Linked DNA regions of Canis lupus familiaris. The protein of the gene in region 1 interacts with the protein of each later gene in a pairwise test. Links are inferred from orthologs where the notes say so. Each region holds a gene or a part of one and is shown in the gene's direction. Other genes may lie near its edges. The genes, in order: KIF5B, PRKAR2B and CDC5L.

Region 1 (10,504 bases):
GTTGTTTTCACCAAAAAATGGCAACAATTACAATTACTATTCTCTATTGACTACAAATTATAGGTTGAAAGTTTTTACTTTTAATTCATACTTCTTAAAGTCTCATTTTGTTTTCTGTTTAGGGTAAACTTCATGATCCAGAAGGCATGGGGATTATTCCAAGAATAGTGCAAGATATTTTTAATTACATTTACTCCATGGATGAAAATTTGGAATTTCATATTAAGGTAGAATCCTTGGGGAAAGATTGTATTTTGTTTTATAGCTAGAATAATTTTATTCCAAGAAATAATAAATGCTCTTCCTTTTTAAAAACTATTTTATGGAAATTATAGTAGAAAAATCATTAGAATTAGTAAACTGGGGTTCTTCTGCCTTTAGATGACCTTAAACAAGATCACAAACTCTCTTTTGTCTTAGCCTCCTTCTCTATAAAATGAAGGAGTTTATTACTGAACTCAAAGGTTCTTACTCTTCTCATGAGTCTAACTCATTTTAGATGAGGATATGTAATGGAAATTGCTTTTAGTTACATGAGCAGTTTAGATAATTCAGATTATGCCATTAGAACATAAGCTGTGACTGAGTTGTTGATAACTCTGCCTTCTTGTCTAGATCGTGTTTAGCCCTCAGACCCCAATAAATTTAATGAACAAATGAATGAATTTAAAATTTTAATTGATTTTTTTTCCCTTTATTTCTTTGCCCTTCAGGTTTCATATTTTGAAATTTATTTGGATAAGATAAGGGACCTGTTAGATGGTAAGTTAAATTCTTTTATCATTTTAAAAAGCACATTACTTTTTTAATAACAGATATAAGGCCATTTTTAAGTAACCAAATGAACTGGACTTAAATTATAAGAAACAGGTGTATTTTAAAGTTAGTTGAATGCCTTTGACACGCTGAATAACTTCTTTAAAAAGCACATATTTATGGTTGCTTATGTTTAAGTAGTAAGTAGAAAATTAGATTATAATTAGAAGTCCTGAGTCCTCGTCTTCTCTCAGCAGCTGTCAGTTAGATTCATTGCCCTGGGAAACTATTAAACTACTCTGGTATAATGTTATTTTCAAAATGTAGGTAATAGAGGTTACCCTGGACCTCAAATTTTATATTGCTGCATTAGTTTCTGTTTAAATCTCCTACTGTTTCTACAGAGTCTTTTCTTTAATAGTGATGTGTCATTTTAAAAATTTACCTATTGTTATTAGGCCACTTGGGAAGAGAAATAATCAACAATTAGCTCTTTCATAACTAGTTTTAGAGTTTAGGAGAATGTTACTGATACTTTTTTTTTTTTCAGTTTCAAAGACCAACCTTTCAGTTCATGAAGATAAAAATCGAGTTCCTTATGTAAAGGTATTTATAAAATAATACAGAATGCTTGTTTAAAAAGTAATAAATTGTCAATTGTCAATATGGCTATTGACATACTTTAAAAAATTATTTTATAGGGGTGCACAGAACGTTTTGTATGTAGTCCAGATGAAGTTATGGATACCATTGACGAAGGAAAATCCAACAGACATGTAGCAGTTACAAGTAAGTAAAATGTCTTAACACTAGTTAGGCACAAAACTGCCTTAAAATACCTTTATCAACTTGATTAATTATATTGGATTTTTATGTAAATAACGCTTTAGAAATTATTAGTAGGGAAAGCCGTGTTTGTTTATAGTTGTTTGTGTAATTTCATTGCAGATATGAATGAACATAGCTCTAGGAGTCACAGTATATTTCTTATTAATGTAAAACAAGAGAACACGCAAACGGAACAAAAGCTGAGTGGAAAACTTTATCTGGTTGATTTAGCTGGTAGTGAAAAGGTAAAATCTTTATATTCTAGTAGATACTTAAGCATTTTTATAAACTTTAGTTTGAATTTGGACTTCAGCATTGTTGTTAACATGTTAAAAACTATTAAATCAGATTTGAGAGATTAAAAAAAAAGAAAAGCTTTGATGCCAGTGCTTACGATTACTTAAACTGAAAAACTGGTTCCAAATTACTGTTATTTGTGCCATAGTCCAGTTCAACCCCAATAGGTGTTACCTTTGACTTCAAGTGTGTTTTTATTGAGACTTTTGTTCAGTATATGTAGTTATAAATTTTATTAGGTACCATCTTCCAATTTTTGATATCTATTTTACCATACTGACAGTGGGGCTCCCTGTGAAAACTGGTAACTATCCATTAGTCTTCTGGTTTGGATGTACCTACTTCTTTTCCTTTCAGTGATTATTTAACTATCATAGACTATACAGTAAACTAATCTGATTCTAGTTTATGTGAAAATCAAAATAAGTTCAAATGTTTTAATGTTGATCTCTGTAACTATTTTTGCTGTTTTGCTAATTTTGTTTCTTCTGATTGAAGTAACATATCAATTCCCTTTTACTTAAGTCTTAAACACATCCTTCAAAGCCTGTCTTTAATTTTGTGAATTCTGAGAGGCTGTTTCTTCAGTCAACAATGCTAAAATATTACTTTTATCCTATTTTTAATACATATATTTCACATTTTTAAAAGAAGTGAATTTGCTTATGTATTTAAAATCAGTAACAGTTAAAATATCAAGAATAAGCTTTAGCAAATTTTAAAAGGTTCCTCTCTTAATGAAGCAGAGGAGGTTAACAAATAGTATATTGTAAATGTATCCGTAAACTTATTATTTTCAGGAACATAAACTAAAAATAAAATTTGGTATCTCCTTAATCACATTCTTCTCATGCACCTAGTTACTTGACCAAGTTCTCAGACGATTAATACTTAAGAAATAGTGATAGCTTAGAGTAAATAATTGGTGAATAAAATCATGAAGCTTTTCATTTTATTGTTTGCTGGTTATTGGTGACCTCTGAACTTTTTTAGAAAATCATTTAAACTTAAAATTCTGTTTCATTCTTTTGGAATCTTAATGTGTATGTAGGTTAGTAAAACTGGAGCTGAAGGTGCTGTACTAGATGAAGCTAAGAACATCAACAAGTCACTTTCTGCTCTTGGCAATGTCATTTCTGCTTTGGCTGAGGGAAGTGTAAGTATACATGTCTTCTCTTTCCCTATTGTTATCTTATGGGGGATTATTCAAATATCAATATATGTGTATGCATGGATGTTTGAGTGAAAGATTTGGTGTGTTTCAATCAGTATATGTGAATTAGTTGTCTTTTGGGAATTTATAGTATTTGTATGTAGATTTTAGTTCCCATTTTAATATTAATCAGTTAAAATAACCAAAATTCCTTTGTAACTTAAAGTCCAACATATTTATATAACAAATTTTTATATATAAATTTATTTTTTTATTGGTGTTCAATTTGCCAACATATAGAATAACACCCAGTGCTCATCCCATCAAGTGCCCCCCTCAGGGCCCGTCACCCATATATAACAAATTTTATTGCATAGAAACCCATTGGTCTTTTTTTTTTTTTTCATAGACATATGTTCCATATCGAGATAGTAAGATGACGAGAATCCTTCAAGACTCATTAGGTGGAAACTGTAGAACCACTATTGTAATTTGCTGTTCTCCATCGTCATACAATGAATCTGAAACAAAATCTACACTCCTGTTTGGTCAAAGGTTTGTTAAGAGAATACAAAGTCTAGGGGCACCAGAGTGGCTCAGGTCATGATCTCTGGATCCTGAGATTGAGCCCCAAGTCAGGCTTCCTGCTCAGCGGGGAGTTTCCTTCTCTCTCTGTGCTTCTCTCTTTCTCAAATAAAATCTTTAAAAAAAAAAAAAAAAAAAAAAAAAAACCAGTCTAAATGATAGATAGGTCTTTTGTTTATTAAGTCTAGGAAAAGTAGGTAGATATTCAAATCAGTGCATATTGTTAGTATGCCAGACACAACTTTTTAATTGAGAGATAATACAAACAAGGTCCATTTTTAAAGGTGCTTAGATTTGAATTATGAAAGTCAGATGTTAACTTTACTCAAATTTATTTGAGAAGCTTTAATTTAGCATTAAAGAAAATAAGTATTTGCATTCAGATAATAAAAACTTGACAAATATAATTCTGTATTAGTCTGTAGACATATGTGACAGGTTCATATAATGAGATAACCATTTATGAATTGGTTAACCTAGGAGAGTCAAAGATGATTTTATTTTTGACCTTCAACAGTAATTGTTTTTATATTAATTTAGCCTTCCAAATGAATTGGGGAAATATGGGCCCTTGTTCTTTATCCTTATCAGGTTGATTTTTAAATTTTAAGATAATCACCAATTTGTGACTGACCCAAATTTATTAAGCTTGTGAATAAGCACTATAGTAATTATGGTTCTTTGTATTTAGTCATAGAGATAATTTAACAAGAATTGTCAAGTTAAATTACTTAGCCAAAAATGCCATATGTGTGTATATATAACAGAGATCTGTAGGTATCAATTGAAAATAATTAATTTTAGTCAAAAATTTTTTTCTGCAATTACTTCTCTTAGGGCTAAAACAATTAAGAACACAGTTTGTGTAAATGTAGAATTAACTGCAGAACAGTGGAAAAAGAAATATGAAAGAGAAAAGGAAAAAAATAAGACCCTGCGGAACACCATTCAGTGGCTTGAAAATGAACTCAACCGGTGGCGTAATGGTAATAATTTATGAATGTGTCATTTTGAGTTTGTTGAGTATGAATATAAAGCTATTTTACAAACTTGAGACTCTGTTATGAATATAAACTATATCCGTTTTTACTTTTTAAGCATTAAGGATCATCAATTAAAAATGATGAAAATCTTTTAAATTCTGATTTTACCTGACATAATAAATAGAGGCACAGAGGCCATCTTAGAAGCTATAAAAGTCAAGATGGAAAGGTTCCACAGTGGGGTAGAAGCAATAAAATTTACAAGATTTGGTGACTGGATTTAGAAGATAGGGATGAGTCAAAAGTAATTGTAGCTTCTCAAATCTTGGACTGAGCAGATAAAGTTGGCGAGAGCTCCTGAAATTGAATAAAATTATAATTTGTTTTAGACAGGTAGATGTTTATTAACCATGTTATTGCCTTATTTTAGGAGAGACAGTGCCTGTTGATGAACAGTTTGACAAAGAGAAAGCCAACTTGGAAGCTTTTGCAGTAGATAAGGATGTTACTATTACCAATGATAAACCAGCAGCCACAATTGGAGTTACTGGAAACTTTACTGATGCTGAAAGAAGAAAGTGTGAAGAAGAAATTGCGAAATTGTACAAACAGCTTGATGACAAGGTAGCTTGTTGTTCATGTTTTGTTTTGGAATGTTATGACATAGGTATTTTTATTTTTAATTTTAATGTTATGGATCCAGGGAACCTATATATATCTACCTTAGTTTCTTTTGAAAATGATTGTTAGGTTGACCCTCAGATACATTGGTTTGAACTGCATGGGTGAATTTTTAAAACAAATATAGTACAATAATATAAACAAACTTTCCTTAGGATTTTAATAACATTTTTTCTCTAGCTTACTGTACTTGTAAAAATGCCTTATGTAACCCAGTAACGTAAAAATGTGTGCTAATATGTGTTAATTATCTTTATTGGTAAGCCTTCCATTCATTCAACAGCTAGCAACAGTTAAGTTTTTGGGAAGTCAGAGGTTATATATATGTGGATCTTCAACTCCATGGTGGGGGCGGTTAGCACCCCTAACTCTCACATTGTTTTAAGGGTCATGGTATTGATAAAAAATACAAAATCACAGTTTCTGTTTCTGTGCAGGAACTGTGTATGAGACATACTTGTGTTTTCTTCTCTTCTTTAAAAGAATTTTCGAAAGAGAATTAGACCTTGGGTCATTGGAGAATCTTAATGAAATGATTTCTCTAAGAATCAGGGATCTTAGACTCAATAATAAAGGTGATGCAGGAGATTAGGGAACAAAATAAAGTGGAAATAATGTTTTCCTGCTTTAATTATCTCAGCTTTATTGTGAAAAATAACAAATTATGAATCAAGAAAGGGAAAAACGAGAGCAGTAAAGAGACTAGAAGTAAATAGTTCTTGTTTTGTTTTTATTTTTAGGTGGTGTTTTATGTGTATTTTAAGCAAATATGGCAGGTTTGAAGTAACTGCATTGCCATTATTTCAATAATAAATTTAAACATGTTTATTATTTCTTAGCATTTAAACAAATGACTAGCCTTCAGCATTTTTTTAGGAGATTGAAATAAGCTATGTTTAATTTGGAGAAACAGTTTTGAAGTATTTTGGTCAGGGAAATAATAATCTTACAATGACTTGTTACTTTAAAATTCTAGGATGAAGAAATTAATCAACAGAGCCAATTGGTAGAGAAACTGAAGACACAAATGTTGGATCAAGAAGAGGTAAGGTGAATATTGTACATATTGCTGTCAGAAAAGCTTACAGTTTGTCATGACTATTTAAACATAAGAGATGGAAAAAATAAACATAAAAGATGAACCAACAGAGAGCTCAGAATATCCTGGAGTACATTTGCAATATGGGAGTACCTTTAATATGCCCATGCTTCACTGTGGATATGATACATCATGAGTGAAGCAAAGATTGACTTCCTCTTAAGGTTTTTCTTTTTTTAAGTTTGAGTTCTATCTAACTGGAGAGGAGAGGATAACTTTTCAGTACTATTCTTTAATATAGTTCTACTGTACTTTTTAACTGTCTTCTACTCTCCTTGTTTTATATATAGTGCTGTTTTATCTCCTTATTCTCCCCAAAACCTGTCTTACTAATCCTTGAGATGGACTTAACTATACTTTTAAACTGTCAGTTCCTTTATGAAGAGTATTTCCACATGGAAATGAAGAAATGTAAAAAACAGTGTTTTATTGTTACTTGTTCACTTAAACACACAGAAACAGGTTTCAAGGGATGATTGAAGAAAAAATAACTGAATTGCTTTGACCTATCTTTAATAATTATATAATTTGAGGTATGACCTACTGTGGGAATAAGGATGTCAGTGAATGAAATCTTTTTTTACTCCTCTTTTACCATGTCTGCCCTCATCGAACCAGCTGATTTTTGCCTTCTTTACTTTCATCTTAGTTCTTTCAAGTTCTCTAGTTTGTCACCTGGTTTAGGACCCTCAATTTATCTTACCTGGCAGAACAGAGGGGTAATTTAAAAATGATACTTCATTTAAGATTTGGTTTGGATATGGAGGCAAAGGTTACACAGCTTCAATAAGGAAGAGATAGCCACCATCAGTCAACATGATCCTGGTCACATCACCTTTGTACTTCAATTATAGCATGTTTTCTCAAAGAGGGCACTAGTAACATTTACACAATTCTTCATTATATTATTCTGTGCTGTGTGTTACATACAGGACCTTTAGCATCCATGGCCCCTGCTTCTAGGTGTCCTTAGCATTCTGCCCCATTAGAAATACTCCTACAAATTTCTAGATGCTCCTACTTGACAGCAACTGACCCTCTTCTCCTAACTAGTCTGTTGGCTTCTCTGCAGTCAAATTATATATGTTGATACTAAGTTTTCCTGAGGCATAGGTCAGGTGCCACCCTTTGTTGACCAAAGAAGATCTGAACTTTTAAGCATGTCTTCTAGACAGCTACTAATTTTTTTGTTCTGTACTCACTGTTCATGAACCTAGTATGCATTTTGTTTTCTAATACATGAATTTGCACATAACTAAAAATCTGCCAATTCTAGCCTTCTTCATGAATAACTCTCTTGTTTTAAATATTACCAAGCACTTTGTCATGTCCTGTCCCTCCTTTTTGGCTCTTAGTTAACATTCCATCCTGTATTACATTTATTTATGTGTCTTTGTTTCTTCTATTAGAGTCCTCAAAGCAAAGTCTTTATTTTTTTATTTTTTATTTTTTTGCTGTCATCCACAGTGCCCGCACATAGTAGATAGTCTATTGAATGAATAAACGTTCACACAGTTAATAGCATCCACATTTTATTCCCTTTTTGTTTAGCACATGGTGAAGCAAATAGATTTTTTAAGCCTTTATACCTTTTTAAAACCTCTGTATACTTCTATTCTTGTATGTAGCTTTTGGCATCTACCAGAAGGGATCAAGATAATATGCAAGCTGAACTGAATCGCCTGCAAGCAGAAAACGATGCCTCTAAAGAAGAAGTAAAAGAAGTTTTACAAGCCTTAGAGGAACTTGCTGTCAATTATGATCAGAAGTCTCAGGAAGTGGAAGATAAAACTAAGGAGTATGAATTGCTTAGTGATGAACTAAATCAGAAATCGGTAGGATATAATTCTGTTTTCTTAATACTTTAGTACAAATATTCTTCATTGAAATTAAGTAACTTCTTTTTATCTAAGCTCAGTGCTGATAGTATCCATTCTTAAGCATTTCCAAGCCTCAAATTCAGTTTCTCCTTTATATAAATCCTTAGAGGTGAAGGAAGAAGGTTATCCTTTTAGGTCCTGACGGTCTGTTAAAAGGTAATTAAAATGCCATTTGAAGACTTGTTGGCTATTCTTAATATTCTAAAGTTAAAGAGAAAATAAGTTAGCTCCTAGTTACTCAATAAAATTATTAGATGATTGTTCAAACTGTAAATTAAGAAATGTGCACATAAAAATAAGAGGATATATAAGCTCATATAATTTTTTTAAATATTTTACTTATTCATGAGAGACACAGAAAAAGAGAGAGAGAGGCAGAGACACAGGCAGAGGGAGAAGCAGGCTCCATGCAGGGAGCCCGATGTGGGACTTGATCCTGGGTCTCCAGAATCATGGCCTGAGCTGAAGGTGGTGTTAAACCGTTGAGCCACCCGGGCTGCCCTATAATTTGGTTTTTGTTTTCTGTTACATTCCTAGCTCCTGGAGTAAAGCCTACCTAGCACAATATAGAAGGCTCTTCTTGTAATTCTGCCATAGATAAGGGTCTTTATTTGTTATTGCTATAAAGCAGGATTTGCCACCTTCCTAGAATGATGCTAAAGGTAGTATCTAACTGTGGGATTGTGATTGCTATACTTGCAGCATCACCACAGATGAGCTGTCTTATTATTAATGTTTTATTATTGTCAGTACCAACTTCTTGTCCAGAAATTGCATCTAGAGTTGGACTCAGGATCCGTGTTCACTACTATTTACCTATCCATGTTCACCTATCTAAAGGAAAGCAGTCAAGAACTATTTTTAAAGGTTTCATGCCCCTGATGCAAAATTCATTTTCCCCTTTTAATCTCCAAAGGTACAGTTTAATAGCATGGAGATCAAAGTGCCTTTATAATTCTTACTATTAAGAATTATTGAGTTGTATTAGCAAACCTAATTGCTATTTGGAGAACAATAGGAGTTTTTTAAAACTCCACAAGCTGTAAGTTGGTCTTCAGTCACCGATTTTAGTCTTTAAGACAGTTGTGGGTGTGTCCCAGTTATGAAGCTGAGTCTGTCAACGCTATGTTGGTAATAGAAGTTGGGAAAACCTTACAGCATTCCGCATCTTTTTATTTTTTTATTTTTATTTATATTTTTTTAAAGATTTTATTTATTTATTCATAGAAACAGAGAGAATGAGAGGCAGAGATACAGGCAGAGGGAGAAGCAGGCCCCATGCAGAGAGCCCGACGCGGGACTCGATCCAGGGTCTCCAGGATCACGCCCTGGGCTGCAGGCAGTGCTAAACCGCTGCGCCACCAGGGCTGCCCTCTGCATCTTTTTATATGTGTACAATATTGTTACTCACTTGTTAGAGAAGATACATAATGATTTAGACCTTAAAGCATGCTATCTTCTGGGACTTGAAAGATATCTGGTATTTTAGATTAAACTGGATAAGCATACAACTAATATTCAGAAACTTAGGGAAATGACCAGAAGAAACAATAAACTGAAATGATATCTTTACAAAAAGCTACTGTATTCTTAATACAACTTCCTGACTTTTAATATCTGACTGTGTTATAATGGTAAGATTTATTTTATTTATTTTTTTAAGTTTTTTTTTTTTTTTTAAGATTTTATTTATTTATTCATGAGACACACACACACACACACACACACACAGAGAGAGAGAGAGGCAGAGACTCCGGCAGAGGGAGAAGCAGGCTCCATGCAGGGAGCCCAACATGGGACTTGATCCTTGGGTCTGCAGGATCACGTCCTGGGCTGAAGGCAGGTGCCAAACTGCTGAGCCACCCAGGCTGCCCTAATGGTAAGTTTTAATGTGGCCAAATTGGGTTGGACTTCTCAAAATTGTGGTGACTTTGTTGCTGGTCAATTAGCTATTATTATAAACTTAGAGTAGTTAACACTCAATAACACTACTTCATCACTATCTCCTAAATAATTGCTTTTATATCATAGTATCAAAGTAGTAGTAATTATCAGGTAGACTATTTTCAATGACTATGTATATAGAAAGGAGATAAAACATACAAACCATCTAGAAAGTTCATTACTATTCTAACATTATTTTGTTTGGACTCCGTTTCAAAAGATAAGCCATACTATGGTAATGAAAGAAAATTCAGGCTAATTACCTTAGAAGTTTCTCCCTTCTAGGCAGGAAACATTA
Region 2 (11,166 bases), on another chromosome or scaffold:
CTCCTGTGACCTTTCCATTTGCCTTCATGTCCTGAGTGAGTATATATTTCTTGCATCACAGAGACATATTAACTCTTGGTAAGAAACACTGATTGGTCATAGTTATGATTATCCATTGAGCAGCTTGCCTAAACTATAGCTTGTCCATGCTGTCGTCCTGTGATAGCAGCTGCATATAAACAAATTGATGTCTCTGTCCAATATCTATTTAATTTTCCATGTGTGAGTGCAAATTTGGTAGCATTCTCACTTCATTCCAATGCTGAACTCTTGGAGTTCTTTTGCAATTGCTTCTGCTTCTCTGAGAAACTGGTGAAAATTGCTTTGTAAATCAACAACCAAAGAATCAATTTCAGTGATGTTCTTTTAAAGAATCCAAAGATGAAGAGTCTCCATAGGCCACTGTCACTGCACTCCAAGGTTTAGAAGGAAATAGTCTGAAAATGAAAGCAAAGAAAATCACAACATATTATCCAAAAGGTTATGTGATAGTGAATAAAAGCTAGAATAGGAGTTTAGAAGTGAATGTCTGTTCTGAGAACAAAATATTAACATAATAGGACTACCAGGATCAAGCTTTAATTTTTCAGGTCATGGTTACTGATTTAAGAACTGATGCAAATAAAAATTGTTATCAGACAGCTGCTTGCAAAGATGTTTTAAATCCCACATGTCTTCTTTTAATATTATATTGCTGTAAAATAGCCCAGGATGGGAGAGACCATATAGGTCATCTAATCCAATTATGCATTTTATTCATGCCTGGCTCACTTCTATACCCCTAAAGAAATGACAACCAAATGACCCCGGCATTGCCGTTGATGACAGATCCATGTATCATGCCTTATATAGTAACTCTACAAAAAACAAAACAGACCAACAACAGAAACGACTTTGAAACACAAAATATGCTACTTCGAAATATGGTTCTTGTAAATGTTTGGAAAAGTGGTGGTTTCTTCTTCTGTCATTCCTGGGGGAGAGGATGTTAACCATTTGGCGGACACTGGTTATTGTCGGCAGAATTGGTTCTCAATTTCCAAATGTTTGCTTGGCACACAACTGCTCAAAATAAAGCTTACATTCCCTAGCTTTCCTTAGGGCTATGTGTTTCAGACTTACTGCTGTGTTACAAATTATCCCCAAGCTTAGAGGCTTAACACAACCTCTTTATTATGCTCACAGATTCTGTGGGTCAGGATTTGGGGCAGGCCATCACAGAGCTGGCTGCTTCCGTCATCCTGGCATGACTTCTTTCAAAGCAGTCATAAACCCATCCGGATTCAGGAGGAGGGGAATTAAGATTTCAACTCTTGATGCAGGCAAGAATGGCAAGGCCACACTGTGGAAGAACACAAGGGACAGGAGATATTTTTAGTGTTCCCTTTGAAAATGCAACCTGCCATACCTTGGATGTGGCCATCTTGCCTAAGTTCTGGCCAAGATGGTTTAAGAGGAACTGGTGTGATGAACTTTCTGGAAGTGTTCTTAGAGAGGCGTGTTTGTGTTTGGATGGAGATGTGGGGATGGAGGGAAGTGGGGGTGGGGGAGGTGGAATCACTTTTCTTTCCCACTTTTCTCTTGGCTTAAATGTGAATGAGATGACTGGCGGTAGAGCAGCAATTCTGGACTGCTACCAAATTTGGATCCACAAACTGAGGATTACAGAGCAATGAGCTAGAAGGAGCCTGGGTACCTGAGGACCATGGAACCACCATACCAGTCCTGAACTGCTTACCTTTACGTTATAGAGAAATAAGCTTCTGTCTTCCTAAAGCTACTGTATTGTGCATTTTCTCCCACGCTCGAACAATGCTAATTAATCTTAATAAAATTATCATCATAAGGGGACGCCTGGGTGGCTCAGTCTGCTAAGTGTCTACCTTTGGCTCACGATCTGGGGGTCCTAGGATCGAGCCCCACAACATACGCCCTGCTCACCGGGGAGCCTGCTTCTCGCTCTCCTTCTGTGCACATGCTCTCTCTCAATAAATAAACTCTTCTAAAAAGTCATAAATGAAGGCACATGATGAAAATTCATCTTAACTGCTGGATCTATAAAGATACTAATGCTTACATGGTGTATATAATGCTTACACAGTTAAGAGTTGGACTAATATTGCCCTTTATGAGAATCATAGTATTTTATAAAAGCTTATGGCTTAAAATGTTCACAATTAGATGTATTTTACTGTATTTCAAAATGACATACTATCATGAGGTTGATAAGCAGAAATCGAGAAATACATTCACTCATGGAGCGATTATAAGTTGAATTATGAACAAAGGATTAATATCAAGATGAATTTATTTTTTTTCCAAGATGAATTTCTATAAAATTTTCTGAGTCATGTGTGTTCTTTTTTTGTTCTTTTTTTTTTTTTGTGAGTGGAAAGATTAATCAGAATAGCTGGGCTTGCTCTTCAAATATTTTATTTACAATATGATGTCATTATCGAAAATGAAGTACCTGTTTTGAAAAAAAAAAAAAAAAACAGTTACTTAGGGGCACCTGGGTGGCTCAGCGGGTTAAGCGTCTGCGTTTGGGTCAAGTCATGATCCCCTGGTCCCGGGAACAAGCCCAGGGTCTGGCTCCCTGTTGAGCAGGGAGTCCCCCTCTTCCTCTCCCTCTGCCTCTACATTCCCATTCTCTTTCTAATAAATAAAATCTGGAAAGAACCCCCCCCCCCATTTAATTGGTAAAAAGCAATTTTCTAATTCAAAACTATGAACATTTGCCGAATAAGCCTCATTTCAAAGCCAAGGGCTTCAACTTTAAAAGTCCATGTCCCTGGTTCTAGTTCTCCTTATATTAAGAAACCTGTTTTGGAGATGGAATTCAAATCCCTCAGCGTGTAAGGTGAAGCTCTAAAATAAATAAGAGCCTCGTGGTGCAAAGCATATCTTGCTCGAAGACCATCTGTCTTGACGGTGACATTCCACCCCAAGCGCTGCACCGTCCTGCCGGCAGGGCCCCCCGCCCCCCGCCCACAGCGCGTCTGTCTTCGTGGGCGCCTCGAGGGGCCGACGCCCGGGCCTCGGCGGGGCCGCCCGTGCTGAGCCGGCTGCGCGGCGGGAGGCCGGGAGGGGCAGCCAGGGGGAGCCCAGGGGCTGCGGCGAGGCCGGGGTCTCACTTCTTTGTCCAGAACCGGAGCCGCAGCTCGGGTGGCTCCGAACAAAAGGCGCCGCCGACACTTAGCTCGGGCCGGCGGGGCTCCCGGGGCGGGGCGGGGCGGGGGCTCGTCCGCTGGTCCGCGCCTTCGCCGCCCGGAGCCGCCGGGGCAGGTGCGCGGCGAGGCGCTGCGGGGCCGGGCGGCACCCACGTGCCGAGCGCCGCCCCCGCCCCGCCCCCGCCCGGCGGCTCCCGCTCCGCGCGCGGGCACGCCGGCCAGGTTGCCATGGTTCCCGCGGGTCACGTGGGCGCGCTCCGACGCCCCCTCCCGCTGGCGCGGCGCGGCGCGGCGGGGGCGGGGCGGCCCGGGCGGGGGGCGGGGGCGCGGGGAGCCGGGGCCGCGGCGGGAGCGGGAGGAGCCGGAGGTGCAGCCCGCCCTCCCGGGGCCGCGCTCGCTCAGCCGCCGCCGCCGCACGGAGCCGCCGCCGCCGCCGCCGGGCCAGCCGGGCCAGCCGGGCCAGCCGGGCCGCCGGGGCCCAGAGCGCCGCGCTCGCAGCCGGTAGCGCCGCCAGCGCCGTCCGCGCTCGCTCGGCGGCCGCGGGGCCGCAGGCCGGTCCGGGGAGGCGGCGAGGGCGGCGCCCGGGCGGCCGCCGCGGGGCCGGCAGGATGAGCATCGAGATCCCCGCGGGGCTGACGGAGCTGCTGCAGGGCTTCACGGTGGAGGTGCTCCGGCACCAGCCCGCGGACCTGCTGGACTTCGCGCTGCAGCACTTCACGCGCCTGCAGCAGGAGAACGAGCGCAGGGGCGCCGCGCGCTTCGGCCACGAGGCCAGGACCTGGGGGGACGCGGGCGCCGCCGCCGGGGGAGGCACCCCCAGCAAGGGGGTCAACTTCGCCGAGGAGCCCGCGCGCACCGACTCCGAGGACGCCGAGGAGGAGGAGGAGGCCGCGGACGCCGGCGCGTTCAACGGTGAGGACCCCCCTCCCGGTCCCCGCAGCCCGGTTCTCCCCCCCGGACCCCGCAGCGCGCCTCCGCCCCCTCCCCCCGGCCTTGGACCCCGCAGCCCGCCTCCGCCCCTCCCGGACCCGGCAGCCCGCAGCCCGCCTCCCCAGACCCCGCAGCTCCTCCCCAGCCCGCAGCTCGCCGGCCCCCTCCGACCCCGCAGCCCGCCCCCTCCCCCCGCCCCCTCCGACCCCGCAGCTCCCCCCCACCCTCTGGACCCCGCAGCCGCCTCCCCCCACCCCCTGGACCCCGCAGCCCGCCTCTCCCGCGTCCTCCCCTGTACCCCCGCCTCCTCCCCTGCACCCCCGCCTCCTCCCCCGCACCCCCGCCTCCTCCCCCGCACCCCCGCCTCGCCCCCCCGCGGCCATCCCGGGCTCCCCCCTCCGCGTGGCGCCCTCCCCCGGAGCTGGGGCGCTGCAGGGGTCCGGGCTCTCGGAGCAGGTGCCGGGGCTGGGCGCGCAGGCGGCTCACGGCCGCGGCGGGGGGGGGCGGGGGGGGCGTCGGACCCACAACTTTGCCTGCGGTCGGACAGACGGCGCTGGACCGACCGACAGCCCGTGCGTGGGGGAGGCACCTTGGGCTGGTGCACGGAGCGTCGCGGAGGGCAGGCGAGGGGCGCCGGTCGGGCTGGCCTTGCTGCCGGGAGCGGCACCTTCACTGGGAGCGTGAAGCTGGGACTCGCTGGGGCAGGACACAGTTTATGACGGTAACTTTGACATTCTGGGAAACAGAGTCCTCTCTTATTTTCCCAATTTACCAGGACCGCGCTGTGCTATTTTTTGGACACGCAACAAAGGATCCTGTATTGCCTGCGACTCATGGGGTCTTTGGAATGAGGAAACGGGCTAATGGTTTGCTTTTTATTTTAAACAAGTATTCAATGATTTGGTGCCTTAAAAAATAAAAGTATGTGAAAAACACCGGTAGGAAGTTCTGAAAGCTTGTTGGTTGTCTTCAGAATGAAAAGCCAGTGAGTAATTGTAAGGACTGTGCCAGACACAAGCTAGAAAGAATGAATGAGAAAGAAAAAGGAAATTTTCTCAAATAGCTACTCCTAGCAAGTCCCACCCCTTCTGCTTACAAGCCTCTTTCCCTAACACACACACACACGGTTACAGCCTCCTGTGCCTACAGTACATGCCTAAATCCCCTCTTTATGGCATCCCAAGTTAAAATTCCACGGTGTGCAAGTGTTTTTCTCTTTGTGGTGGAAGATAAACATGCATTTCGGCATTGCACCAGTCTGTATTTATTTACACTGCTTGCGGTTTGTGTGTCTGCAGTGTATTCCATAAAATGAAAATGTTCTAAAGTGTCATTTCCTTGAGTGTGTTCCTAGGAAGGTGTTTCCTTTCTTTGCAAATTTGTCGAAACCGTGTTTTGAAATTAATGTATTTTTAGCTCATCCGAAACAGTCACAAAACCCTGAATTAATAATAAGTATTCTTTGAAGATCAAAAGGAAAATTGTTACTTTAAAAATGTTCATCTTGGGCTTTTTATTGTTTCCAGGGATAAGATGATCATAGTCTCAGTTCTTTTTGCACAAGAATTTAATCAGATGCTTTCCTTGCTAGAAACAAGAAAAAGGTAAAAGCCGGCATATTTAAATAGAGGGGAAGGAGAAGCCAACAATAATGGATGACATAGAAAGGAGAGAAGCATCTAATACTCTTTTCTGCTCCTGACACATGCATGAACATATGTACGTGCGCTTTACACACACATATAGGAAGAAAAAAAAAAGGTTTGTTTTCTAGGGTGGAGGAAACTAGGAACTAAGGGAGGTGGTAAAAAAAAAAAAAAACAAAACCAACAAAACCCTATATATGTTTAGTATGATTTACTGTTAGTATAACTAAAATATTCTCTTTGTAGTACAATTCTTATGAAGTAGTTTGCATTGACGATTCTATTTTCTTTTTACAACAATGTAGTTTGTACACAAAACAGCTCTTATTTCCATTTTGTGTTGAATAAGCCATTAACTTCTCAATCATTTTATATGGTTTTATGTTCTCCAAGGCACCTTTATTGTAAAAATTACTCTGTGTGAGTTTTAATGAATACTCGTTAACCAGTTGCACTATTCATTTTCTCACCCTTATCCCCAAGGACTTTAAAACTCTTTGACTACAACCAAATACAATTCGACATTATGATATACATATATGCATATATGTATAACAGAAATTTTGGCAATGGCACTTCCTTCTAGTAGATGCACTTAGAAAATATCTACTAGAATATCAACTATTTTTTTTAATATCAACTATTTTAATTAATTCTCTTATTACTATCTTTTAAGTATGTAAATTGTGTTTTAGTTTAGACCTTCAGTTTAAAAAAACATTATAGGCTACCAGGGGTTGACAAACGTTTTTGTAAAGAGCTAGACAGTAGTAAATATTTTAGGCTCTGTGAGCACCGTATGGTCTCCATTGAATATTCTTTAAAAAAAAAACAAAAACATTTTAAACACATGTTTCCTCTGGAGATGTGTTGGGGATGTACAAAATTGACCACAGACTAAGGCCATAGTTTGCTGGCCCCTGGCAGGAATTGGGGGAAAAAGTCAAATAGTGCCATTGGAAAACAAACAGAAGTGAGCCTATCAATTTAATGTTTTGGTGCAAAAAATTGCCAAAAAAACATCGGATCCTGGGCAATTCTCCTAGCATAGTAAAGCATAAGTATTAGAAGACAAGTCTTATTTACTTGCACAAGTCTTAATTTACAGCACAAGACCAACTGGGTCACTAATTTCTTAAATGTTAGTATGCATGTCAGGGAAGTTTGATTCAAAAATGAGTATTACCTGGCATTGCTCCTGGTGAGCTTATTTGAATAGGTTGGGGTGGAACAAGGGATCTTTTCTTTTTTTTTTCTCTTTCTCTCTTTCTTTCCTTTTTTTTTTTTTTATAGAGACGTCCCAGGTCATTCTGATATCCATAGTTCCCTGATCACACTGTGAGAAACACTGATCAACAGATAGTGATGATGATAATGTCTTTGTCATATCAACATTTTAAAAAAGTGGCCACCATTTATTGACGTTTGGTATGTGCTGGACATTATCTAAATGCTTTCATAATCAAATTCATAATCCCAGCTGTCACTTGTCCAGTGTTTAACAGCTAGGCTGCTGCAAAACCGGAAATGAAACACAGGTGGGCCTGGCTCCATCCCTCTGCTCTCAACTCCCAGGTTTTATCTCTGGAAGGGGCTGGGCCAGCATCACTTGAGCATCCCCTTTGTATCACATCTGCGTGAGACCCTGTGTTTTCTCTGTAAGGCTCTGAAAAATGAACTTGTCTGGGGTTACACACAGGACTAGTAAGTATCAGAGTCTGGTGTTTCTTAACTTCCATCTGTCTGACCCGAGAGAGTTCATCCTAAATTAAGTTTGTTCAGTGGACTGACTCACACAGATCAGGTTGTCCTGGTTATTTTTCCAGTAATGGTGATGAATTTGCATGGATTGGTTTGTACTCACTCTCATGAATCCTTTTAAGACAAGTGATGCTATTTATGAGAAGTTGGGCAAATTTTTGACCAGGAGACTGTTGCTCATTTGACTCATGTAGGGATCAAGCATATAACCTTGACCTCAGTATGGTAGTGGAATCAAATAAGTGAGCCAGGGTCTGGTAGCTTGACCATGGATACAGCACTAGGCCATATGGTCAGATGGGTGAAGGTGGTCTTTACTTCCTGCTTTTCCAAAGAATCCCTTTCTCTGCTGGTAGCTGTCCCATTTCTCTCCTGTTTTTAAATTTTATTACTTCTATTCCTTTCAGTTTGCTATAAATTCTGGTTAAAAGGGAAGTTCTCAGAGAAGCTGTAGTGGAGACTGCCTCCGTCTTCCCCATCCAAGAGGTAGCAAATAAAGCATGACATGTTGCTTCTGAAAGGCTAGTGTCCCCAGGCTTAGAATGTATTAGAAGAATTAACAGCCGGCCAAAGAATTGGATCAGTACTGATTTGGAGTGGAATTAATGGTTTCGTGCAGGCATCATTGTGAGAGCTTGTGTTGCTCAATAATTTCTTCAGTGAAATTGCTGAAATTATAAAATGAAGTAAGTAAAATTCCCAAATACTCCTCTAAATTGACAAATGGTCAGAAAAAGATTAGATTACATGTGAAGAGACATCAAACTGGAAGAAAAATAAACTACTGTATATAAAATACACAGGAACTAATTTTCCATATTGTGGAAGAAAAATCTAGAGTTCAAAGTGTGTACACATGCCAGACATTTAGAATATCTTATAAACAAGCATGTCAAGATATATAAATAGAAATTCACCATGTAGAAACTATGGTTTAATCCTTTTAATTCTGACCTCTGCCAAATCTTTGTTGGAGAATTGTATGTACCTATGATTTTTTTTAAAAACAATTTAAAGGGAATATGGGTGAATTTATAAGAGATCCTTAAGATCACACAAAATACTAGAAAGTTGGAGCTCCTGGTGGTGGCAGGGGGAGATTAAGAGAACAAATTTATTTCATGAGAAGAAATGGTTGAAGGAGCGTTTGAAAGAATATTCACACATCTAAGAGGTTTTCTTAGAGGATTATGAGCAAGTATTCCTTATCTCTGTATCTCTGACACAGAATCAGAAGCACTAAACTTTGTTGTAACTTGAAGGATAAGAGCCCAGAAGTTCACTTGTGTGAAGTGGTTTACGTGGTCTTCCTAAAATGAACTGGCAAAAGGAATCAGGGCAGTAGATATATTGGCTCCCTGATAATCTGCTGTGAAAATATTCTTCACTGGGCTCCAATTGGTAGTACAAAACACTTTTACCTGTTGACTTCTTGGTCTAACTGGTAGGAGAAACTTGTAGAGAGTAATTATTGCTTCACTGAATTGTTCCTTTGGCTGATTTATTAGGCCCACTTTTTTTTTTTTTTAACGATTTTATTTACTTATTCATGAGAGACACACACAGAGAGACTGACACAGGCAGAGGGAGAAGGAGGGTCCATGCAGGGAGCCCGATGTGGGACTCGATCCTGAGGTCTCCAGGATCACGCCCTGGGCTGAAGGTGGCCCTAAACCACTGAGCCACCCGGGCTGCCCAATTAGGGCCCACTTTTATCTCCGTGTTCTTACTTAAGAACCTGCTCTCTCTGGCTACTAGATGATTATGAGGCAAAGCAGCCAGTCGTTAGCTCTTCATCAGCCTTTTCAGTGCATTTAATTGGTTTGAAAATGTTCACCAAAGTCTGACAACATTCATTTTCCTTCAGGGATGAAGCACTGTGCTGGGCATATTGACATATTATCATGCTAATAGTCTTTACCTCCTAAGGTTGTTAGGGGATAAATGGTTTAATATTTATAAGGGCCTCAGGACAGTGCACATAGCAAGCATTGTTTCCGTGTAAGACAAATGATCTCATTAACATGAAATCTTAACAGAAGTGTAAACTTCTTGCAGAATAGCCACTTCATTGTTATTTTGTGGAAATGAATCTAGTGTTTGCACTTTTTAGAGAAATGAAGTAGGAAATGAGCTTACGTGGCATTTCCACTTAGGATTTAATGTGAAGTTATGTTGCACAGTAATAAAACCCACATCCTTTCAGCTCATAATTAGTAGCTAAGAGCTGCAGAATTTTATAATTAACGAGACTGTATGGTCTTTGGCTATTAGAGATTTAGAAGTTTTTAATTTATATAGTAGTTTTGAATCCTCCTGAGATGGGAATTACATCATTCATGACAATGGCTAAACTGCTGAAGCCATTATTTTAGTTATGAGCATAAATCAATAATAGAGAAGATTTTAAAAATATTTTGAGTTTAGATGGTAATTGTGATTTTCAAAGTAGGACAGTGAAGAACATTATTCATTTTAATAGTAGTAACATAGGGATTGAAATTGGGAAGTCAAAGGACTTGAAATAATGTCCTTTCTCAAATTCTTACCCATCTGTTAACTTCAGGCTTGGGGAAGAGGGCGAGAGGGAGGAAGAAGAGGGAAGTAAAATCAGTTGGGACTTGTAAAAGATTCTTGGACTAATTTATCATTTGTCTGAAGACAGCATAGAATGAAAAAAACCTGAACAAAAAGAGAAGGGTACTTGAATTTGTCTGTCTTAAAAATCAAACTGTTCAACCATTATTGAGTGTAAGACCGTTGTAAGTTTTCCATTTGAGGTTGTAGGTACAGTGATGTGCTGTGTCTGGGTGAGATGGAGTAAATATTTAATGGTTATTATTGTTGCAAATCCCATTCCATGGGTTCCAGTAAATTTCCAGCTGTCAAGATTTTGTTCTTCACTGCCTCAAAAAAAAAAGCAAATGTGTTTCTTTTTCAACTGTTTAAATACCAACAAGAGACCTTTGAATTCCCCAATGAGAAGCTCATTTGTGACCCATTAAGAAAGTCAAGTAATGAGAGTAGTAGCAATTAGAGAAAGCCTATGGTGGAGGTTGGGATTCAGTGAAGGAGATTGCCTGACCCCAGGGTCTATTTGAGTAGTGTCTATGGTCATAGGATACTGGAAGGGGCTGGGACCTGCGGTGGCCTTAAGAGAAGGAATGTATGAAAATTGAAGATCGAATACTCGTTCACTCACTCATTTACTCCCTGCAGAAATATTGAGTGAGTGCCAACTCCTTTTTTTTTTTTTTAAAGAAAAAATTATTATTCTCTTAAGCTTATCCTCTCTGAGCTTAAGAAACAATCCTTTGTCAGATACTGTCTTCCAGATAGTATAGATAATCTATTTCATTTAACAGATGGGGCAGCTGAGAGCCAGAGAAGGTCCTAGCCCCAACTTAGTTGATTTTGGTCTTCTCGTTCGTAAGGCTATCACTTACATTTTGTGTGCTCTCTATGTTAACTTATGTATAAATTCTTTGTCTTCCGTCAAGGTGATAGATAAGGTTTAAAAGACTAGGCTAATGAAAAGTACCTTAGTGTACAATTCAGAATTACCAAATTTTTGTTCTTTGATTTTTTTTTCCTTGCAGTGAAATCTATTACAGACTTTATTTTTATGTCAGTTGCTTAAGGACAGACAATGGGAAAGA
Region 3 (10,504 bases), on another chromosome or scaffold:
GCATATCAAGCAGAATCTGCACTGATTGTGGAGCCCAATGGCAGGGTTCGGTTTCACAACTCCAGGATCATGACTGAGCCAAAATCAAGAGTCAGATACTTAACCATCTGAGCCACCAAAGCGCCCCATATATAGTCTTTTAGACATTGCTTTTCACTTTAGCCAAGAAAAGATGTTATTGATTGGTCTTAAAAACAAGTACATCTTGAATTGCTTGAGTAAATGACTTTAGGTCAGTATAAAGTAATAATTAAGTGGATTTGGAAATTTAGAATGTATCGGAATAATATTAGTAACACCTTGTACTGATACATTATAGTTACTAATTTGCACATACCATCCTGGTGATGTAAAGAGAGATGGTATTAGCTTCATTTTAGAAAAAAGGAAAGAAGCTCAGGTTTAATTACTTTTCTAGCTTTCATATTTGGAAAGTGGTGAATCTTGATCTAAAACTGAGATCATGTGACCCCTTTTAGGTATTCTTGGCTACAGTCCATTTCAGGATGATTTTAGAAATTGAGTAATTTTCATGGAACTGGAGCATGAATAGCATCAATACGAAATATTTTAGAAACCATATGAATGTGCTTTCTGATGGGTAATACAGGATAATACTTGTGTTGAGTTTTCTTAGTTTTGTTCTACATTTACTCTAAGAAATGCTGTGAAATCTAATATATTAACCCATATTATTCATGATTTAAGAATCAGGAAACCAACACCTTCATTGGCTGGCTTTTTAAATGAAAAATCAGTAACTTTTGGGGTGGAAGTGAGGGTTGTGTTGCAGGGTGAACAATTAAGAGTCCCCTCTAGGTTTAGGATTCAAATTTATTATTAATTTTGATTTTTAAATTTTATTTTAATTCTGATATAGTTAACATACAGTGTAATACTAGTTTCAAGTGTGTAGTGTAGTGATTCAACACTTCCATCACCCATTGCTCATCACAGCAAGTGCACTCTTTAATCCCCATCACCTATTTTTCACCCATCTCCTCACCCACCTGCCTTCTGGTAACCATCAGTTGGTTAGTTCTCTATAGTTAAGAGTCTGTTTCTTGGTTTCTCTCTTTTCTCTCTCCCTTTCCTTTTTTTCTTTTTTCCTTGCTGGTTTGTTTTGTTTTTCTTAAATTCTACATATGAGTGAAATCATATGGCATTTGTCTTTCTGTGACTTATTTTACTTAGCGTTACGCACTAGCTCCATCCATGTCTGTTGCAAATGGCAAGATTTCATTCCTTTTTATGGCTAAAGACTGAATAATATTCCACTGTAGAGTGTGTGTGTGTGTGTGTGTGTGTGTATTGCATCTTCTTTATCCATATGCACACATACATACATATATACACAGAAACATACATATGCCACATCTTTATTCATTCATCTATCCATGGACACTTGGGCTGCTTTCATAATTTGGCTATTTTAAATAATGCTGCTCTAAACATAAGCGTGCATGTGTCCTTTGAGTTATATTTGTATTTTTTTTGTGTAAATGTCTAGTAGTGTGATTGCTGGATTGTAGGGCAGTTCTATTCATACTGTTTTCCACAGTGGCTGTACCAGTTTGCATTCTTACTAACAGTTCAGAAGGGCTCCTTTTTCTCCACACCTTCACCAACACTGGTTTCTTGTGTTTTTGAGTTTAATCATTCTGACAGGTGTGAGGTGATATCTCATTATAGGTCTTAAAACAATTTTTTTTTTTGACTAAGCTCCACTCCTAATGTGGAGCTTGAGCCACCAGCCTTGAGATCAAGAGTCAGATGCCCTACCAACTGAGCCATCCAGGTGCCCTTATCTCATTGTAGTTTTGATTTGCATTGCCCTGATGATGAGCGATGTTGTGCTTCTTTTTATGTGTCCGTTAGCCATCTGAATGTCATCATGGAGAATTTTGTCTGTTAACATCTTCTGCCCATTTTTCTTTCTTTCCATTTTTTAATTGGATCATTTGTTTTTTGGTGTTGAGTTCTTTATATATTTTATCAGATATGTCACTTGCAGATATCTTTTCCCATACAGTAGGTTGCCTTTTAGTTTTGTTGATCATTTCCTTCAGTGTGCAAAAGCTTTTAACTTTGATGTTAATTCCCATAGTTTATTTTTGTTTTTATTTCCCTTGCCTCAGACTTACCTAGAAAAATGTTGCTACAGCTGATGTCAGGGACATTACTGCTTGTGTTCTTTTCGAGGATTTTTATTAGGATTCCAGTTTAAACAGAAAAAAATGATTATCTGATGGATGAAGCCATGTAAACTTGGAGAATGCTTTAGTAGCTGTTGGCAATTCTTAGTTTGTATTGTAATGAGAGAGTGAATAGACTGATTTCTGTTGCTTTATTGTCTTTCTACAAACTTACACAGATTTCTACAGCTTTAGCTCTTGAGCATGCATGTTGTTATAGACTAAAGTTTTCAACTTTATTGAAATGCGGCAAATATTGCATATCTGTAATAATGGATATAAAAATAATTTTTTAAGGCTATACGAGAGGCAGAACGTGTAAAGGAAATGAAACGAATGCACAAAGCTGTCCAGAAAGATCTGCCAAGACCATCAGAAGTAAGTGTTAGAACTTCTGGCTTTGGAAGTTTTAAGTTTCTTCTTTGTGATTGCTGTTTTTATGTCATTCATAAAGTCTGTAAAACAAAATTTTATCTACTTTCTGGAATGTAGTAAAGCAGTTGCAGATCTAATCTTTAAAATGTTTCACTGGTACAAATAAGACTTTAGAAGGAAAAAAATTTTTTTTTAAAATGTAAAACTGCTATTTAATTCATGCTAGGGCAAGTAAGTAATAGCATCAGTATTGCAGTGATCTGTTTGTTAATGGTACTTGTTTTAAAATTTTAGGTAAATGAAACGATTCTAAGACCCCTAAATGTAGAACCACCTCTAACAGATTTACAAAAAAGTGAAGAACTAATCAAAAAAGAAATGATTACAATGCTTCATTATGACCTTCTACATCATCCTTATGAACCATCTGGAAATAAAAAAGGGAAAACTGTAGGATTTGGTACTAATAATTCAGAACACATTGCCTATCTGGAACACAACCCTTATGAAAAATTCTCCAAAGAAGAGCTGAAAAAGGTATGATTAAACAGAAATATTTTGGTCTTGATTAAAGTATTGGTTCAGTACTGTGTATCATAGATGAACAGTAGCTTATTTTCTGAGGCTGATATTTATAAACAAATGAATTTGTAATTAGGAGATAGCTGGTCATATGACGTGTTAGGAGGACGACATACTTGACCATGCCCCTTTCCCCTTTCTTGATAGAGCTTCTTCAGGTGAACACTAGCTTAGGTGGCAAGGTGTTTTTGTTTTATGGGTATATGCCTGATGGACAGTTGCTACAATTGCCACTTCCTGTGTTCAACTGCTATTTCTGAGTAGAATTGAATACCTTTAATACTTCAACCTGGGGCAGTCCCGTGGCGCAGCAGTTTAACGGTGCCTGCAGCCCAGGGTGTGATCCTGGAGACCCGGGATTGAGTCCTACGTCGGGCTCCCTGCGTGGAGCCTGCTTCTCCCTCTGCCTGTGTCTCTGCCTCTCTCTCTCTTGCTTTCTCTCTCTCTCTCTCTCTGTGTCTCAATAAATAAATAAAATCTTAAAAAAAAAACAAAACTTAAACCTCATTTAGATTAATATGAGAAAGCAAGCACATATTCAAAATGTTTCTTTCACCTAGTCAAAGAAAGGAAATACCATTTACTGAATTTATTCCTTTTACTTGATTTCCCACTATTCTTTTGGATAAGGAAATAGAGAAACGTTTTCCTGTAGAAAGTCTCTCCTGCCTCTTCTCCATATGCATTTGATTATTTCTGCTTTGACAGAGCAAACAGCTATGATTGTGAATAGAAATCATTTCTTCCATGGTATGAGGAAATACAGTGGGTGCCATGGTTGGAAGCAGAGTGGTCATTAGCCATTAGTCTTTTTTTCTGTAGTGCTTAGCCTTGAGGAACAGACAGACCCGTTGTTGGAATCTGCTATTGCATACTTGGGAGGAAATCCATAAGATACCTTTTTCTGTCTTTTCTTGTGCTTTTCTTCTGTCTTATTCTTTCCATTTTCCTTGTTGAGAAGTAATATATGTTTATTAAAAGATTTTGAGAAAATAGAGAAAGGAAAGAGGATTTATTTAGATTTATATTTAAACAGTTTGCCTGTGATTTCTGAGGATCTGAGTTATTCATTTTAGTAAGTGTGACGGGAAACTGACATCTGTTGAGGGCCTCTTGTGGCAAGCACATTTAATCATTGGACTGGGGTTAAGAATTACACTCTGAATTCTGTACTTGAACAGTGTTCTTTTTTCGGAGGGAAAATAGGGGAAGATGGGATCAAGGGGTTTACTGTATTTATGGAAACCAAAATAAGGATCACATTATGATCTGTTGTAGCTTAATAGAAGATTCTGTAGGGGATAGATTCTAATAAAGTTTTTGAAAAATACGTAGTGCTTTGGAATTATTTGAAACCATTACAGGCTAGTTTAAATATTCTTTTATATTTTATGTATGTATTTATATTCCTCTCCGTTCCAAAAAGGATTTGAAACAGCTATTTACTTAGATTCTTTATGGAGAGTTTAAAGATAACTTAGTCATACTCTCTTCTTATAATTATAGGAGCTGATTTTATAAATTTTTATTATGTACAGTTTGGGAATGAAATACCATTTCTCTTATGAAGTGTCAGATTTTCATTAAAGATGTTACAATTGATTTGTTTTCATTATTTCCCCTCAGAGATACTGTTTTAAAGTGTATTCTTTATCTTCTAGAGACACGATTTTCCATTAAGTCTTTTGTATTTGATTTTAATATACTTTGGTCTGTTTTATTTTCTGATGTACTAGAATGATTGAAAGTTTTCTTTAAAGCATGAAAAGATAGTTGTCAGTTTTTAGCCATGAGGCAAAGGGCTGGAAAAAGTTTATGTGTTCTACTCATGGAGTCATTGTGTCTGATGTTGGGGTAGCCTCTGTATGTATTTTGTATCACTTAATCCCAGTAACAAATAGGTTGGTATTATCCTCATTTTACAGATGAGAAATGGGCTCAGAGATGTTCAGCAAATTCAGACAGCTGCCTAAATGGTAAAACTATGATTTGTACTCAGGTCTATCAATTCTATCCCCCTCATTCTTTCATCTTAAACTTTCTTAGTAGTAAGTAAAAGCTGGTCTGTGATCCATTATTTTCCGATCTGTGCCCCATCTCATTCTCTGGCAATGTTGGGGGCATTTCAAATGAGAAAACAGGCATGTATCAAAAGAAATGCCTAGTTCCCCTTCACAATCTTGTGAAGTCTAAAGTGTAGGGAGGCAATTGGTAGAGTGGAAGGAATTAGCCAAGCACAGGTGCCATTTGGCTTGGCCCTGATCCTGCCTTGCCTTTCCTAGTGATGTGTTTTTGAACATGTTGATTAATCTCTCTGAACCTTAGTTTCATCAACTTTAAAATGTGATTAATACCAACTACTTTGTAAGATGGTTGTGGTGTTTGGAGATAATGTAGGTTGAAATGTTTCTGGCGTATAGTAGATATCTGAGAAATGGTTGCTTCTTATTACAGTGATTGAAGGCAAAGGATATTTATATTGTTCAGGATACATGGATGCTTGACTTTTCAGATCAATCTGCCCCAGCTTATTGGCTTCTTAATTCATTTTAACTTAGATGTTTTCTCCCTTTCCAAGAAAACAACCAGTTAACCCAAACTCCTTCTCTTTACCCAAAGAAAGGAAAAACTAGTTTTTTAAACTTCTCTCTTGATGGCAAGTTATTCTAGTACCTAAACTTACTGAAATTATTACTGTACACAGGCCCAGGATGTTCTGGTACAGGAGATGGAAGTGGTAAAACAAGGTATGAGCCACGGAGAACTCTCAAGTGAAGCTTATAACCAGGTATGGGAAGAATGCTACAGCCAAGTTTTGTATCTTCCTGGGCAGAGCCGCTACACACGGGCCAACCTAGCTAGCAAAAAGGACAGGATCGAGTCACTGGAAAAGAGGCTGGAGGTTGGTATCCTTTTAAAATTCTAATTTAAAGTGTACCTTGATTGAAATAATGAACCGAATAATACCATTGGAGACAATTTCAGAAGAGTAGACCTGAGGTGATTATTGCTTTTGCAATTCTTTTTCTTTTTCTTTTTCTTTTTTTAAAAGTCTCTTTGTTTGTTTTAGTAATCTACACTCAATGTGGAGCTTGAACTCACCACCTTGAGACCAAGAGTTGCATGCTCTTCTGACTGAGCCAGCCAGGTGCTCCTTGCTTTTGCAATTCTTGAGAGAAAACTGCACTGAAGTGTTCTATCTTCTTTGACTTTTTCAGAATTGCTGATAAATGGGCAATTTATGATAAAGAGTGCCCTCCAGGTGATCACAGGTCAAACAGAACCTTTTAAATGTGGGAGCAGGAGACAAGAAGTTAACACTAGTCACACATAACAATGTTTATCAATGCTGAAATAGCTTGTTTTCTCTAAGGAGGGAGCTCAGTGGTACCAAGAAAATTTTATAGCCAAGGGAGCCCATTTATAAAACTTTGTTTTACTCTCTGTTCATCCTCTGATTCTTTCGAGTTTGTTGCAGAGAGAGCACCAAGCTGGATTATCTTAGACAGTGGCTTCTGTGATTTTTTACACATCCTAGGAAATGTTGAAATGTACGAGATGGGAGTTTCTTAGTGTATGGTTTCGTAATATGGTCTTTGTGTTTTGAATTCCAGAATCTGTGTAGGCAATTTTCCAATGGCATGTAAATTGTGGTTCATGGACCACTAGGCTGCCTTTTGGATTCCTAATGGTGGCCTTCAGGGATGTTTCTGAGGCCAGGATGGGATGGGGAAGCAAGGGATGCTATAGGCAATCACATGCAGAAATGGCCTCAATTTCCTCCTAAGTAGTTCCTAATTTCTTTTTACAGAAAGCGTTGGAAAATATTTTTACTTAGAGTTAAAATAAAAAAATGATAATATCACTTGGGGTGGTTGGTGCTGTTGTGAGGGCTAGGAAAATGAACAAAAAATAAAAGCATTCTTTTAATATGAAATTATTCTAATTCTTAATTTTACCCTTAAGACCACATGTATAGGCACCTAATGGTTAACACTTGTGAGCCTCTTTTTTCATTTAGTGGTAATGAGTTTCTCTTTGAAGTAATTCTCATCTTGGTTGAAACCTTTGCAATCCAAGTAATGCTAGTTACTCAGTTGTATTACTAGCTTCCAGCAGGGTGTGCTGTTGTGCTGTGTTTTTAATTCACGATTTAAAGTCTGGGAAAGGAGAACATCAGTGGTCACATTTAAAGTTATATTTTCTGTTGTATAGGCTTTGTTTCTTATTTATAAATGGTAGTTAGCAGTGTAATCCTGATCTAAAGTCACATCATAATTGATTAGAAAGCTGTTTGGAAAGCTTCCTTGTAACATTTATATACAAATACTTTGGTCTCTCACTCAGTTTGAAAAGCTTCTCATTTGAGGTGGGTAAACTTTTTCTGCCTCAAGTGGTAAGGACATTTTGTGCTCTTTAAGATATAAAAAAAGTTTTTTTTTTCCTAAATCTCATTTACTTTGTTGAGGCACTAACTTTCATGACAGCAAATAAATGTGTCACAAAGTGAGTGGTGCCATAAAGTACAGTAATTTTTATTTTTATGTTGAATTGGTCTTGTGAGTTTTGAAGGGAAAAATACAGAAAGAACCTCTGCTGTTCTTTTGGAGATTTATTTGGGTCGTTTATGAGCAACCATTAAAAACATGTGGTTCTCTTTGTTCAGTTCAGTACCAAGAACTGAAATCTTCCGTTGAACTATTTTTGTTGAAGGATTGGTGATTTTGGAAGAATATTCATAAAACAGTCTGAAGTAATTTTTCTTTTCTTGACTTCTGGATAACTTACTTTATTGTTTACCCAGCTAGTTACTTTTAAAGAATATGTAATCAAATCCTTTAATTTAGTAAACTACACTTATTTCAAATGAAAGTTCATTAAATCTTTAAAAAGAAGAAAAGAGACTCAAAAACCCAAATAAACAAATCCCCCATTTTATTTGTATCCATCCCTAATTCAGAACTAGGTTTGTGTTAGCTTATTTTAGTTTTTGAAGACACAATTCTACTGGTTTGAAATACATAAATATTTTATTTCAATTGTGGTAATTCTTTCATCATTTCAGTTGATTGCTAAATTATAAACATTATTCAAAGTTTGTTGTGGGGAAGGAACTCCAGTCGTATTATATAAACTGAATGCTATACTTAAATTATTCTTTCCACTCTTAGGTTCAGGGAGATATGCTTTTCTGTGCAAGCACAATACACCATGGCTGCCAGTGTGTTTGATTTTTGCTGTCATGAACTTTGGAACAGTGAATCTAAATTATGGCCCTATCACAGTGTATCAAGCAAGATGAAATCCAGCTTTGTCGTGGTTGGTGTCTCCTAAATGGATTAAAAAATATGCCCTGAGGTTTATATTGGAGCTGGTCTTTGAGCCATTACTCATTAGTATTTGAAACGTAGAACTTAAATGAAAACCCTTAAGATATTCATTTAAAACTAATAGAAAGAACCATCTCAGATTTTATGTAGAATGTGGTGCATGGTAAAAGGAGTCTGTTAAATGCATAGAATCAGAATGTAGTCACAGGTTAGAAGTAAGCAGGAAAGACTTCAGAATTGTAACCAAGGTCATGTATTTTATTCTGCTTTGGAGGCAGAATTAATTTTAGAATCCTGTCAGATTTTTTTGTGTAAAGGCGGCAGCAGCAGCAAACAGAAATGATAGCTAATATCAGGAAAGGAAAAGTTTTTAGAAAGCATAGCATATTGAGGCTATTTAAATATGGTATTTTAATAGCTTCTGAGTGCATTGTAGGTGTATGGTAGGAGAGTAGAATGATTGCTATTTGTAGTGATGCCCCAGATTTAAAAAATAAAACATTTAATTTCTGTTTAGTGTCATCTCTTTCCTTTTGTTTGTTTTAAAGAGGGATGGCTAAAACAGTAGGAAAATTTTTATTAGATGGTAAAAAATAAAACGGTTTTAGTATTTGATGTAATCATATGTTTAGTGAGTATTAGTGAGCATCTGCTATGTGCCAGCCCTTGCTCCAAGCCCCTGGGAATATAGTAGGAACAAAGCAGACAAGCTCTGTGCTCTTGTGGACTTCAGTTATCTGGAAAATGCTTCATGTGGAGAACCTCATTTTTTGATGATGCCAGATAAATGAGTCATTACTGTATTTGGGAAGTGCAAATAGAATTTGAAGTGTTCTAATTTGTTTCCACTTTAAGTGGAAATAGGAAATTGTCTGAAGACATAATTATTTTGAGTGAAATAATTTCCAGTAGGTGCAAAAGTGAAATAAGAAGTCTGAATTTAGGCCTGCTATTAAATTTAATAGTATTTGAAATAGTATCTAAACTGCCGTGTTGAGGAAGTTTGGCTGAAAAGTAGATTTTGTCATGTTAGCTATAAAAATGGAAAGGCTTTCCTTAGAGGTGGAAACTAGGTCCAGAGGTAATACTTCTCCCTGTATTTTACTGGCACAGTCAACTTAGTCAAGAAATATTATGTAACCATCAGCTTCTTGGAAATAAAGTAACTTAACACAGATAACACATTTAAAATCTTTCTCAGTGTATTTCTAGAACTCTTATGAGGACTCCTGACTGAATGGTTATATTTCAGCAAAATTGGCACAGTGGATCATATTTTCTCAGTTATTTTCGTTAAAAAGTCAGATATTTTTACATAGGAAAAAATTCCTCTTAATACTTGGAAGAGTGAAAGCTTCCGGTGCAGATTGAGTTGTTGCGCTAACCTGGGGTGACGGCCTGTGTGTTGTAGTCACTCTGCAGGTTTCATGCTACCTCATCAGAGGTGTGTGGGGGAGGGGGCAGCGCAGGGCATAGGAGAGAAGTTTCTAATACTCTGAAATGCTCCCTTTCTCGAGTTCTGCTCTTTCCTTTGATCCTTAAAGGCATCGACAGAGCTCTTGTTTCTTTCAAGAACTCTAGAGCTGGATCAGAGATTTCCTTGGTACAGTTGTGTTGCTTCTGTTAGGCCTCAACATTGAGTTGACTTTGTCTCATGTGACATTTCCTAACTCATGCAGTTGTCAAGTGCTCTTGGTGTTCTGCTTTGTTGGTCCATTACTGTTCTTGAAAAGGATTTTGGTGAGGTTTTGCCTCACTGCTTAGCTTGCTTTATCGGGATGCAGCTTGGTAGTTGCTAACTTGGGTTGATGCTAGTAGCAATAATCACTTACTTGGACCTGCAGCTCATCAGTATGGAGAAGGTTCACTGATAGAACTTAATACCAGTGAATAGCATAGAGATTAAAGGAAGGGCACTCATGGACTCTTGTTGTTTGCAAACATTTTGGTGGTTGAACCACATCGTTACTACTATAGGATCATATTGCTAAATGATGGACTAGGAAGTGGAGCTGCCATCAA

Evidence for each region.
Region 2: the proteins of KIF5B (region 1) and PRKAR2B interact in binary tests that used the Homo sapiens proteins (3 or more experiments, as listed by UniProt). The two-hybrid records come from large-scale screens. The link is inferred for Canis lupus familiaris from reciprocal best matches to the Homo sapiens genes KIF5B and PRKAR2B.
Region 3: the proteins of KIF5B (region 1) and CDC5L interact in a two-hybrid assay, tested with the Homo sapiens proteins (2 studies listed by BioGRID and IntAct). The link is inferred for Canis lupus familiaris from reciprocal best matches to the Homo sapiens genes KIF5B and CDC5L.

What each region holds. Positions count from the first base shown.
Region 1 is NC_049223.1:12,693,642-12,704,145, forward strand, and holds part of KIF5B (kinesin-1 heavy chain), read left to right. Parts: intron 1-122; coding exon 123-227; intron 228-713; coding exon 714-762; intron 763-1,306; coding exon 1,307-1,362; intron 1,363-1,457; coding exon 1,458-1,545; intron 1,546-1,704; coding exon 1,705-1,829; intron 1,830-2,932; coding exon 2,933-3,037; intron 3,038-3,443; coding exon 3,444-3,589; intron 3,590-4,456; coding exon 4,457-4,605; intron 4,606-5,032; coding exon 5,033-5,226; intron 5,227-6,259; coding exon 6,260-6,328; intron 6,329-8,010; coding exon 8,011-8,217; intron 8,218-10,504. UniProt on the Homo sapiens protein: Microtubule-dependent motor required for normal distribution of mitochondria and lysosomes. Can induce formation of neurite-like membrane protrusions in non-neuronal cells in a ZFYVE27-dependent manner.
Region 2 is NC_049239.1:13,745,589-13,756,754, reverse strand, and holds the start of PRKAR2B (cAMP-dependent protein kinase type II-beta regulatory subunit), read left to right. Parts: upstream 1-3,763; 5' UTR 3,764-3,778; coding exon 3,779-4,082; intron 4,083-11,166. UniProt on the Homo sapiens protein: Regulatory subunit of the cAMP-dependent protein kinases involved in cAMP signaling in cells. Type II regulatory chains mediate membrane association by binding to anchoring proteins, including the MAP2 kinase.
Region 3 is NC_049233.1:12,996,359-13,006,862, forward strand, and holds part of CDC5L (cell division cycle 5-like protein), read left to right. Parts: intron 1-2,492; coding exon 2,493-2,573; intron 2,574-2,864; coding exon 2,865-3,107; intron 3,108-5,856; coding exon 5,857-6,054; intron 6,055-10,504.